3 linked regions of the Danio rerio genome follow. The protein of the gene in region 3 purifies or fractionates together with the protein of the main gene of each other region. This does not show direct contact. Links are inferred from orthologs where the notes say so. Each region holds a gene or a part of one and is shown on either strand. Other genes may lie near its edges. The genes, in order: rbbp8, dcp1b and usp4.

What was found.
Region 1: the proteins of usp4 (region 3) and rbbp8 purify together in Homo sapiens (affinity purification with western blotting; 3 studies listed by BioGRID, with this or other methods). This does not show direct contact. The link is inferred for Danio rerio from reciprocal best matches to the Homo sapiens genes USP4 and RBBP8.
Region 2: the proteins of usp4 (region 3) and dcp1b purify together in Homo sapiens (co-immunoprecipitation; 3 studies listed by BioGRID and IntAct, with this or other methods). This does not show direct contact. The link is inferred for Danio rerio from reciprocal best matches to the Homo sapiens genes USP4 and DCP1B.

What each region holds. Positions count from the first base shown.
Region 1 is NC_133199.1:39,949,164-39,952,819, reverse strand, and holds part of rbbp8 (DNA endonuclease RBBP8), read right to left. Parts: intron 2,486-3,656; coding exon 2,413-2,485; intron 2,322-2,412; coding exon 2,167-2,321; intron 1-2,166. UniProt on the Homo sapiens protein: Endonuclease that cooperates with the MRE11-RAD50-NBN (MRN) complex in DNA-end resection, the first step of double-strand break (DSB) repair through the homologous recombination (HR) pathway.
Region 2 is NC_133179.1:20,906,860-20,911,244, reverse strand, and holds the start of dcp1b (mRNA-decapping enzyme 1B), read left to right. Parts: upstream 1-1,509; 5' UTR 1,510-1,716; intron 1,717-2,455; 5' UTR 2,456-2,483; coding exon 2,484-2,627; intron 2,628-2,788; coding exon 2,789-2,829; intron 2,830-3,092; coding exon 3,093-3,220; intron 3,221-4,385. UniProt on the Homo sapiens protein: May play a role in the degradation of mRNAs, both in normal mRNA turnover and in nonsense-mediated mRNA decay. May remove the 7-methyl guanine cap structure from mRNA molecules, yielding a 5'-phosphorylated mRNA fragment and 7m-GDP.
Region 3 is NC_133181.1:44,915,841-44,919,960, forward strand, and holds the start of usp4 (ubiquitin carboxyl-terminal hydrolase 4), read right to left. Parts: upstream 2,882-4,120; 5' UTR 2,870-2,881; coding exon 2,721-2,869; intron 1,357-2,720; coding exon 1,229-1,356; intron 1-1,228.

The sequences.
Region 1 (3,656 bases), on a different chromosome or scaffold from region 3:
CTTAGTAAATGCATTAATTAACATTAACTAATGAACCTTATTGTAAAGTGTGACCATATTATGTATTATTATATTTTAATTATCCATGAAAGCATATGTCTAATTTGGAATCAAAACATGTATATTCATTCATTCATTCAATTTCTTTTCGGTTAATTTGAGCCATTAAAATCTCTATCAATTTGGTTTATATACATTTTTTATTTCTACATTTCTAGTCAAACATTTGCCCTAAAGATCCGAATAAAGTGACAAATATGATCACATATGAATGAGCATGTTTCTCAGTACATTCATTAAAAAGTAATTGTCCTTTACATGTGGCCATGCATCTGTTAATTGATTACATTTTACAGAAAAGGTAATATAATGTGATATATACTGTTATCAGGATATGAGACAACTTATATCTTGAGATTTTTGTCATATTTCCCATCCCTAATCACACATATTACATAATACATAATATTAAGGTCATTTAGGCATTTTAGGTCCCGTTTACAATAATAAGTTTTAGTTTTTAAAGTGGCGATGTAGAATGAAAACGTCCAGCGTTTCACCTAATGTCTCTGAACAGATCTCCGTCCACACTATACTACTGAAAACACACATGACGTGACCACACACACACACACACACTGGCATGCGCTGCAGCGTCTGAGCTCCAGGCAGTCAGCGGGTATTTTGAGCACAGCACCTTAGGTGAAAGCTGTGCACATCGGATGGTTCATCAAGAATCTACCGCTGGATCTAATCTAGCTATATTTGCTAAATGTGATATTTAATTCATCTTGCTGTCTAACGACATACTCCCTGACTTTTTGTTTAAAAAATTCATACAGTGAAGATGTCGGTCATATAAATATGTAGCTACACGACGCCTCAACATTTTTGGTGTCTGTTAAGGTAATTTTAAAAATAAAAACTGACAGTTCCTAATATCATATTTTCATTCGATTGTTGAGATGTGAAACAGCATAGCCAGGGTGATGTGATTGAGGGTATACAGTACACTGTTCCCTTTGAAAATTTACCCGACGTGTCCTGAGGAGTTTATTTACCTTATCAAACTTGTGAAGTCTGAACTTACAAGGGGAGGATGCAGGACTGAAGTGTGTGTAGGCTACTCAATATTGAGAAAAACCCCAATCAAATAGGTGAATGTCAACAGCCACGCCTCCGTTTTCAGATGTCTCCGTTTTCCCCATCCACACCGAGTTGGAGCAGCAGCGTTATAGAATGAAAACGGCCTCTTTAGTGTTTTCAAAAAGCTCAGTCTTTGGCGCTCAAAAACTCTAGGGTAGTGTGGATGGAATGCGTAGCAAAACTTATGCGATTTAAAACTAAAATTTCTTAGTGTGAACAGGGCCTTGGGTTCCTGGGCAACACCATCTCTCAGGATCTGAAGTGGGACATTCACATAGACTCTATCGTGAAGAAAGCCCAGCATAGACTGTACTTCCTTTGTCAGTTGAGGAAGTTAAACCTGGCACAGGAGCTGCTTGTGCAGTTCTATTCAGCTGTCATCCAATCCATCCTCTGCACTTCAATCACCGTCTGGTTCAGCTCAGCTGCCAAAACCGACCTCCGTAGACTACAGTGAATAGTCCGGACTGCTGAACGAATCACTGGCACTACCCTTCAAGAACTGTACTCTTCCAGAGTGAGTAAAAGGGCTCGCAAAATCACTCTGGACGCCTCGCACCCAGCACACTTCCTGTTTGAACAGTTACCGTCTGGTCGGCACTTCAGAGCACCAAGAACAAAAACAGCCAGACACAGGAAAAGTTTCTTTCCTCAGGCCATCTACTGCATGAACAGTTAAATATAACCCAACTGTGCAATAAATATGTGCAATACTTTCTCATACGCACTTGTACACAGCCCCTTATATCAATATACAATGCAATAATTTCTACATTCGCATTTGCACACAGCACCTTATGTTATAACCTGTATATTTATAACAAATCTGTACATACAACTCAACATCCAGATTTCTGGACTAACTGCATCTCCGTTTAATGTTTATCATCTTTTTTTCCTCATATTTATTTTGTGTTGTCACTTTATGTACACTGGAAGCTTCTTGTGTTATTCCTTGTGTGTGTGAAGCACACTTGGCAATAAAACTGATTCTGATTAAACTTCTCTGGAGTGACTAACCGGGGTGTGAGAGTGATAGCGGTGTCTCAGTGTATCGGACGTGGTTCTGCTCTTTCCGGCGTTTCATCTTGCTGGCAACGGGTAAAGACAGCGGCCGGAGAGGAGAGTCTGGGATCATTCCCTCCTCAGCCTCAGAGGACGTGTTCTGTGGAGAACTAAACACACACTCAAAACAGACGGTCATATGATGATGAATGTCACCAGTGCTCAGTATTTCATCATGTTTTCTTCAACTCTGAGACTCACCCAGACCTCCTGAGTCGCTCCAGTTCAAGACTCAGTCTCCTGTTTTCATCTGTCAGAGTTTTCCTCTCAGCCTCTAAACACACACATTGAAGAAGATTTTTGGGTTGATACTGATAGGCTGGATGAGACGAGAGCTGCACTGGTATGGAATTTTTGACCTGATAACTGATAACGTAAATTTGATTTGAAACAGATAGCCAATATATTATTAACAAAAATAGCAGACAAATAATATCTATATCCATAATTGTTATGCATGATTGCAAAAACAAAAATCAAACACTTACAGAGAACAACTGATTTTATTTTAAAACTTTAACTTCAGAACAGTAACATTTACAACAAGGCAAAACCAGCAAAAATAAAGCATAAAAACAGCACAAATAAAAACCTAATTTTGTTATTAGACCAATCGAGATAACATTAAAATCAGGTTTGCTGATATTGATATGGCCACCGATGTATCATCCAACCCTAGTAGATACAGATGAGTTTCAGACAACTTAAAGTAAAAACTATTTATATCCATTTTTTTAACACTCAATTCTTACAAAATTCCATCTAAATTACAAATTCCAAATGCACAATTTCCAAAAGACATTATATATATATATATATATATATATATATATATATATATATATATATATATATTTTTTTTTTTTTTTTTTTTTTTGAATGTAACTATTTTTGGGACAAAATTATTAGCCTCTTTAAGCTATTTTTTTTCGATAGTCTACAGAACAAACCATCGTTATACAATAACTTGCCTAATTACCCTAACCTGCCTAGTTAACCTAATTAACCTAGTTAAGCCTTTAAATGTCACTTTAAGCTGTATAAAAGTGTCTTAAAAAATATCTAGTCAAATAATATTTACTGTCATCATGGCAAAAATAAAATAAATCAGTTATTAGAAATAGGTTTTTTAAAACTATTATGCTTAGAAATGTGCTGAAACAATCTTCCCTCCATTAAACAGAAATAGGGGAAAAAAATAAACAGGGGCGCTAATAATTCAGGGGGGCTAATAATTCTGACTTACATACACATACACATTTCTTATGAATTATTTATGATTTTATTTATAAATTTTGACCTCGACTGTTTATTTTTTCCCCAATTTTTGTTTAACAGAGAGAAGATTTTTTTCAACACATTTCTAAACAGAATAGTTTTAATAACTTATTTCTAATAACAGATTTCTTGTATCTTTGCCATGATGACAGTAAATAATAATTTAC
Region 2 (4,385 bases), on a different chromosome or scaffold from region 3:
ATATAAAAGTTTAAGATCTAATGTAGGCTAAATGTTGGTTAAAACTTTTCTGCAGTGTTTAATTAGCTAAAACATATAGATGTGTACATAACATCACGATCACTTTAACAGAATTAGAAAAAAAATCTGCATGGGCTGCTGTGCTCTCTCAGAAATAGGTTGGAAATGATGCTGAACAAGTTAATTAAACACGAGTATTTAGGTAATGATGACCTCTAGTGGTACCTTTATAAAGTGCAGTTGAGTAAATTATCTTGAGAGGAAAGGATTTTCAATCTTGGCTCCGGTGCCAATGGGGCAGTGCAATGAGCTTTGTGGAAATGCTAAAGAGAAAAAAAGCATAGAAAAATGTAGCCTGTGTGCGTGTGTGGAAATATATATATATAAACAGAAAAACAAATGCATAGTAAAGCAAACACAACACGTAGATAATACAAAATAATAATAATACAATGCCTAACATTTTAAATAAACAAAATAAATTTATAATCATATTTATAAATAAATAAATATAGACAGACAGACAGACAGACAGATAGAGAGACAGTGTAACAATATGTTATACATTTATATTTCTTTCATGGTTTAAAATGGTCCTTATGGGGAAAACCTGTATAGGTGTCTTTTACATTTAGGATAGAGGTCCCACTAAAGACGATAATGATGACATCTAAAAGACTGGCAACCCCTATTTCAATTTCAAGGGGCAGACTTCACTAGCGAAGTAAGCAGTCGCTTACAGGGAATTATGGGGCCCTGAAAAATGACAATGTCTATAACCATTACGATTTTAACAACATTACTTCTTTTTAAAACCGGGGGCCCCATGAATAGTGCAACGTTCCTCCGTACAGCAAATGTAAAAACTAATCATAAATATGTCAAGTAAACTGTACATACAGTATAGTTTGTGAACTTGTGTGTGAGTGAGTTTATTGTATTTAATTTTACATTAAGAGGATTAAGGAAGATTAAAGGAGTTTAAAACATATTTTGAAAAAAAATCTTTAGAGAATGAGAGTGTTTTGAGTTTCATCGCTAGGGCCCCACACCTGAAATTGCTTAGAGCCCCAAGTCCGCCCCTGCTCAATGGGGTACAACAGTACATTTAGATTTATAGATTTATGTAGGCTAGTTGCAGGTGGGAAATGTGCCATTTTAATAATCACAGTAACATTACAGCGGTTGGACTTTACAAATGCAGCAGGGCCTCTGGACTGTAACATTTGTTTTTGGAAAGAATACGCAAACAATTAGGCAACAAAAACTAAACTACAAATCATCGTCTTTACCGAGGCAGCAATAGTGCAGGAGTGCAAGAATTTCGTATCCTCAAGGGTTCCCCTGGGTGCAGAAAGTCTGCAGCGTCAGCTCACTGCTTTAGCGTGATGTAAACGAACGTGCTGGCGTTCTCAGGTGAGCTCGAGCCAGCTGGGGGCTCATCCGTAACTCTGTCTCGACTATTTTCCCCTTTGCGCGCGCTCGGCGATTAGCTCGTTCTGTCTTCTTGACAGCGCAAACATGGCGATGACGGCAGCGGGACGAGAGTTAGACAAGTGAAATAAAGCCTTATATTCTTGTTTACTGCTTTGCACATCCCTGAAAACATACACAAGGAGACCGGATCGTTAAATAAGCTGTTTAAGTGTTGTTTTTACAGAGTTAAATTTTGCTTTTTAAAGGTATTTTAGGATTTGTGCCGTATTTTAAGTGGAGGTAAGTTTAACTCCAGTACGATGTATAAAAGAGCAACCGCAGCTCACCAAGGCCTTATTTAGTTCACTCGTAAACTTATGAATGTATGATGTATACCATTTTTTAAAAAGTAAAAACACTATTAATGCAGGGTTAGGGATATTAACAAACCGCTCAAGCGCAGTGTTAAACTTGTGTACGATGTCCCGCAGCGCTTGTGCTATGAACATCAACGGTGACCTAACCGGTCAAAGTGACCAGAATAAATACAGACGAGGATGAGGTGGACTCTTTAGACTCGGGCCAGTATATAACCACTCGTTATACCATAGTAACTACATGTAAGGGTTAGCTTGTCAACCACATTTTAGTGAATGCGAGTTTAAGAAATGTATTTTTATGCACACACATTTTTACTCATTGTATAAATTAATATATAAATGAATGCTTATAACTAAGAATAACGAATTTAGTTACATTTTGTAATCTTGCAAAGGTCTGACGCATTAATTTCTGTACACAGTAGACAACATTTGAAGTGGATCAAAACCTTTCATCAAAGTTATCCCAAAACTATTGAACAACACCCACATATAGATGATGGATGGATGGATGGATAGATAGATAGATAGATAGATAGATAAAACAATACTATATTTGTTTGGTAAACATGCAAACTGAACCAAAAGACCCATACAATAGAGGTGTACAGTAATTACATGTTAATAAAGAGTAATTACATCTTAATAAAGAGCATAAGTTTTTATTTACAGAAGCGAGCTGGAGCCATGACTGCAAGCACAGGTGGCGGTGGGAGCTGTTTATCAATGAGTCTGTCTGCTCTGAAGAGACTCGACCCCTACATCAGCAGCATCACAGACCTAGCCAGCCAAGTAGCACTCTACACCTTTAACAACAACACCAATGAATGGGTAAACAACAAGATCATCTCCCTTAACATAACATCTTAGTGGATAGAGATATTTATTTCTACTGCTACAAACATAATATTATTGTTTTAAATTGTAATATTATTTTTCTCCGACTTAAACATAAATAGATCAATGTATGTTTTTGTTGTGGTTTTCTGTAGGAAAAGACAAATGTGGAGGGAACTCTGTTTGTCTATAGCAGGTTTGTTTGATTCTTACATGTTTTTAACAGTGAAGCAACACCCACATGTACTGTATGGCCCTAAATCAGAGCCCTAGAGATCTAATGTGGCTCTAAGGGTCAGAGAAATAACCTGCACAATATTTCTCAGCATTTAGATGTACCACTGTTGTCTGCTCTTACACTGCACAACACCCACATGCAGTTTTGTAGGTCCTTCAGACTCATAAGCTTTAGTTTCCCACTCATGCTACGAGTTTTAACGTCAGTTCTCTGTGTATCAGGCTTGCCTCCCCCAGGCATGGCTTTACCATCCTCAATCGCTTGAGTATGGACAACCTGACTGAACCAATCACTAAGGACTTGGATTTCCAGCTGCAGCATCCATTTCTCCTGTACAGGAACGCTCGCTGTAAGTCTGTCTTTTTGTTGAACGAGCTCAAAGTCATCAGAGTGAAATATTTTAGACTAAACCAAAAGACTGCAAAAATATTGCTAAGCCCAAAGTATGCATGTATAGTTGATTTAAATGAAGAAATCCTTACATAATACAGTGTGTCAAAATATATGTGATGTGAGCGAGAGAGAGAGAGAGAGATGGCTGGGTGATAAGAAAATATTATCACATATCAATGATGTCTCCTGAGCAGGCTAATGTTGATTATGACATTAAATTATTGGGTGATAATCAGCATTATTGGGTTAAAAAAATAAGATTGTCAAGTAAATGTATTCTATCTAGATGATATTTATTTACCTTTACATTTTTCACAAATGTTTATGGTAAAGCATGTCAGCGATATATATTTTAATGAAGCACATTATTTCAGAAATGCAGTTACCTAAACTTATTTAATTTAGCCCTATAAATACAGTTACAATAAAATATAGACATTATAGATAATATATTGACCAATTAAGAAAGTAAGTGAAGTTTTACAAACTAATTTTGAGAGAAGCACGTTATATCAAACTGACTATAAATAGCCCGACTAACATTACTCCCTCATTTTAATTTTTTGAAGAATCCCCCCATGCCCCCCATCTTCCCCTTTCCTCCTGTACCAAGAGAAGCTCTCAAGAACTACCTGATCTCGTACCTCCTTACATGCTAACTGACCAGGAGGGAGCCCTGGGCTCAATTATCTCCGAGCTCAGGGTTCTCTCTCGGGACAGCATGCCAAACCTGCTAACACTTGAAATGACAAATGGGAAAGACGAGAAAAAAGTTTAATGGCATAAAGAAAAAGCATGGACATAAATTCAGCCTTAGAATTGTAAATGTGTTTATTTTATTAAAAATATAATTAAAATGAATGGACCTGAATTTAGCTGATTTATTGTCAAATTAAATTTAACAAAAGGACATTCAGGCTCGTTATCTTTTGTAATCAGTTAATCAGGAAAACAAATGCACTTCTCTGAAGTTAAAGCTTTACGACGATGCTACAAACTCTTTCAGAAGGACTGCTTGCATGCAGGCACACAAAACCTTTTTTGGCTTACAATGGAAATTTTTTAATATTCCTCCATCAATTACATTCTCCCTGGGCTGGCGCATGCAGCTTTAGACAAAT
Region 3 (4,120 bases):
TAAATGTTTTAGGTGCTAATAAATCAAGTTCAAATGTGCACCTTTTGAAAAGGTACCCCCCTAGTGACAGCTCTCGTACCTTTATTTCAGAGAGTATAGTACAGTATTGCCAAAGCATTTCATATATATATATATATATATATATATATATATATATATATATATATATATATATATATATATATATATATATATATATATATATAAAGTATGTAATACAATAACATCATTAAATCAATAAAATATACAGCAAATGATAAATAAATAACAGAAAAAGAAATAAAAATAGACATTACTGCAAAAATGATAATTACTAGAATAAAAAGTGTAGACTATTTAAATCAGGCAAATTAGCTGATTAGCCATTTCTAATGGTGTACAAATATTTTGCAGCCAGGATAATTTGTTCTCTCTGAGTTTATAGTACAGTTGATCTAAGTAGTTTATCAATTAATTATTTAATGTTTTTCTTAAAAAGGTAATGCAAAAACACATACAAATAACAACAACTTTAAAAAGCAAAAGTAAAACCCAAATCCTGAACATTTTAAGACATCCAAGAACTATGGTCAGAGAGATTTTGGAGTATCTCTGTGGGTCTGCTGGCTTGGGATTGTCTGTGTGAGTGTTGACGGTTCTCGTGCACACAGAACCAGCAGTAGGAAACATGCAGAGCGAGAGAAGATTTTCCACTGGTTAATCGATCGCAAATGTTTGGCTTTCTTGGGTGGCTGTTGATACACCTGGGCAGCCCACCCAAAAAAAATCTATGTATGTGAAGCATGTAATAATATACTTGATAATGCAATACTCACATTTGGTGCTTGTTGGCTTAATTCTGGTCTGATTTCAGGTCACAATAGTTTTGGACTAAAATTTGAATTAATAAAGTAGTTATTCTGAGATGATCTTCCTCTCCAGTGAGCTGTTAAAGCTATATATTGTTAATTATAGTCTGTACTGAATCAGTGAGTGTGTCAATATACCTAAAGGATTAGATCAATTGGACTCATAAGCTAATCATTACAAAAAATATATAAATGAAAAGACTTGATTCAAACAGTTTGCATTTAATGGAGAAATAATTTTTAAAAACCTTAAAAAATAAATATTACCAAAAAACCTTTCTTTTTATATATATGTATATTCTGGTGGCAAAACATGCCCATTTTTCTTTATAACATCCATCTGTAAGAATGTGGCAAAACAACACTCAAACATTCACTACCTGAAAAGAGGCCAGAGTTGTCAATGGGTCCCGGGTAGAGATTGTGCTCTCCAACATTGTACAAATCCCAGCTGTCAAAGCCAACATATTTCTTCCACTGTTTGAACCACCGGCTGTCAATCAAATACCTAAACAAATGAAACAATAGCTGGAGATCAGTGAAGAGTCAGAGGGAACAGACAATTAATGTGTTTCTCCTAAATTATGAGCGCAAAACAGTATGCAAAGCGAGTTTCTATTTAGTTACATTACACACCTACCAATTTAGAACAGTCAATAAGGATGCCTTTCTTAATCTCATCTAAAGTAGGAACTTGTTCCACTACATAATCTTGTTAGCACTTGATTCCCTCTGCCAAGAGACAGTCATTGCACTTTGATAAAATGTCAAAAATGTAAATTAACTGACTGGAAACCCAAAAGTGAAAATTTTGTCATTGTCGGCACATTGACAACTTGAATGTTTACATGCATTTTAGCAAAACAAAACGCATGGAATGTAGCAGAAGCTGTCATTTTGAATGAACTAACGTTATTCCTTTAAATCCAAAATGGTGATTTGCACAAGCATAAAGCTGAACTAAAAAAATAAGTCTATTAAAGGTGTCAAGACTCTACTTCTCGGATTGCTTTCCTAAATGAAAGCCACACAGAAACAAACAAACAAAAAAACAAATACAAATATTTAACAGATAATGTATTACATGTTTTGACCTTCAATCTACATAATTTCAAAATATATGTATGTGCATGTCTTATCGGTGCCATAAACTCTTCTGCTGCCTAACAACATTTTGAGTGACTGGGTGTTATCCAGTGGCCATGACAAAGCACTGCCTGCAATACTTGTTTATGTAGCTTACACTCCTTTCTACAACTTTAAAAGGAGAAGTCTGACCTTTATTTTAATCTAGTTTGTCAGTAACCCTAAAATAAGTTTGACGTCTGACAGAAAATAACACTTAACCCGTCAACGAAACGCAAACTAGGCTGGCTAACTAGCCTCGGCTAAAGAAGTGCCTTACATGCCTGACGCTACTTTGCCATGCAACATTAGCTTATCAGAAAACTGATAACCGACAACGGGGTGCTTGAGTTTATTTAACGTTACCAACTCTTCAGCTAACGTTACTGACGTGCCTAAAACACCTTATGCATTAAAGAGACATTTACGGTGGAAATACTGTGATGTTTGGGGAGAAATGGAATGCTAAGGTTGGTTAACCTGTGCTAACTAGCTACAAGACAACTTCATCGTTTTTTAACCGACATAAATTGTGTTAAATGCTAATAATATTAAACCACAAACTGTTGTGTCATATCGCCTGAACAGTAATGTACTCTATATAGTTTCTGGGTGTTAGCAGAACATGTGGCTGTCCACAGCCGGAGAAGTGAAGGGATTTCCGGCAGCCGGTGTCTCCGTCGGTAGGCCTGAGCTGATGCCGACAAGCGTGCCATGACTACGGCTTTATTTAAAAAAAACTCTTACCACTCGTCTCCCTTTCGAAGTAGCGTTTTTAGCAGTGTCCCGATGCTCTGCTTTTGACTCTCGGTGGACGGTACTGGTGTCTGTGTGATCACCGGCTTCTCGTCAGGGTCCGAAGCGTTACCCGACTCGGGTCCGCCTCCCTCCGCCATCGTGCAGCGAGTGAACCCGCAGTGACCGCGAGCGCGCTGCTGAAGTATACCGGGGACGCGCAGCGCTAAAGGGAGCGCGCACACTGGAGCTACTGCCGAGCTCGACTAGCCGCTACATGCAATCTGGGAGCGGCTGATAAATGAAACAAACCGAGCCCTCTGGTACAGCGGTTAATAAACATTTTTTATTAACTGAAATAAGTTTACTATGTTTTAGTTTAATATTGTTACATGTTCTGCCTATAAACTGTAATTTAGGCCTATATTCAATTGTTATTGTCCAATTACTTTATATGAACATGACCAGAAATGTATTTTCTGCTAAGACATTTTTACAAACACTGAGTGCTAGTGAAGTTTAACCTTAAGTTTAACTTAATGATATAAAACGCTCACCAAAATGTTTTTATTTTTACAATTTGTAAAAAAAAAAAAAAAATTATATATATATATATATATATATATATATATATATATATATATATATATATATATATATATATATATATATAATTGTAAAAACAATTCTTAAAATGTTTCAAATTTGAGATTGAGATCTCAAAATTGATAAAACTGTTATTTCTGACTGCAAATATGCACAGGTATGACTTTCTTTCAGGATACATTTGACTTATGTTTGTGAGTTTTGTGTGTGGTGTTCACATAGTAAATGCCATAGCATAACCTTTACATAGATTTGTACCATTCCAGAATAGAAAAAACAAAATAAAACAAAATGTTCATGATGAACAGTGGTTTGGTGTCCACATCATGACACCTCACTTTATACACTTTTTATATATTTATTTGTATTTATTATTTATGTCAGTTAGCTACTAAAATGATTAATGTTCCCTATTAAATTCAGTCTTAGAAGATTTAATCGAATAGTGAATTGCAAAATATTTCATTCGGAGCTGGATCTGTTTCATGAGTCAGCTGAACTGATTCACAAACCCCCTCTAAAAGATTCATTCATGAATCAAACATAACTGAATCAACAAATGCCAAAAATATGTTGCATGATGGTTTTATTAACATGTTTACAAAACTGTACTGGTTTCGATAAATAGCGTTTTATTCAAAGGTCCAAAAATGTACATTTTTGTTTTCTTTAATATAAATGATCAACATTTTAGTTAAATCATGATTATATTGTTGTGTAGGTATTTTTTAACAAGCCACTGCAGGGAGGATCAGGGGCCTGCACCGTGAAGCCAGAATAGTTTGCACCAATTCTGTTTTTTATAT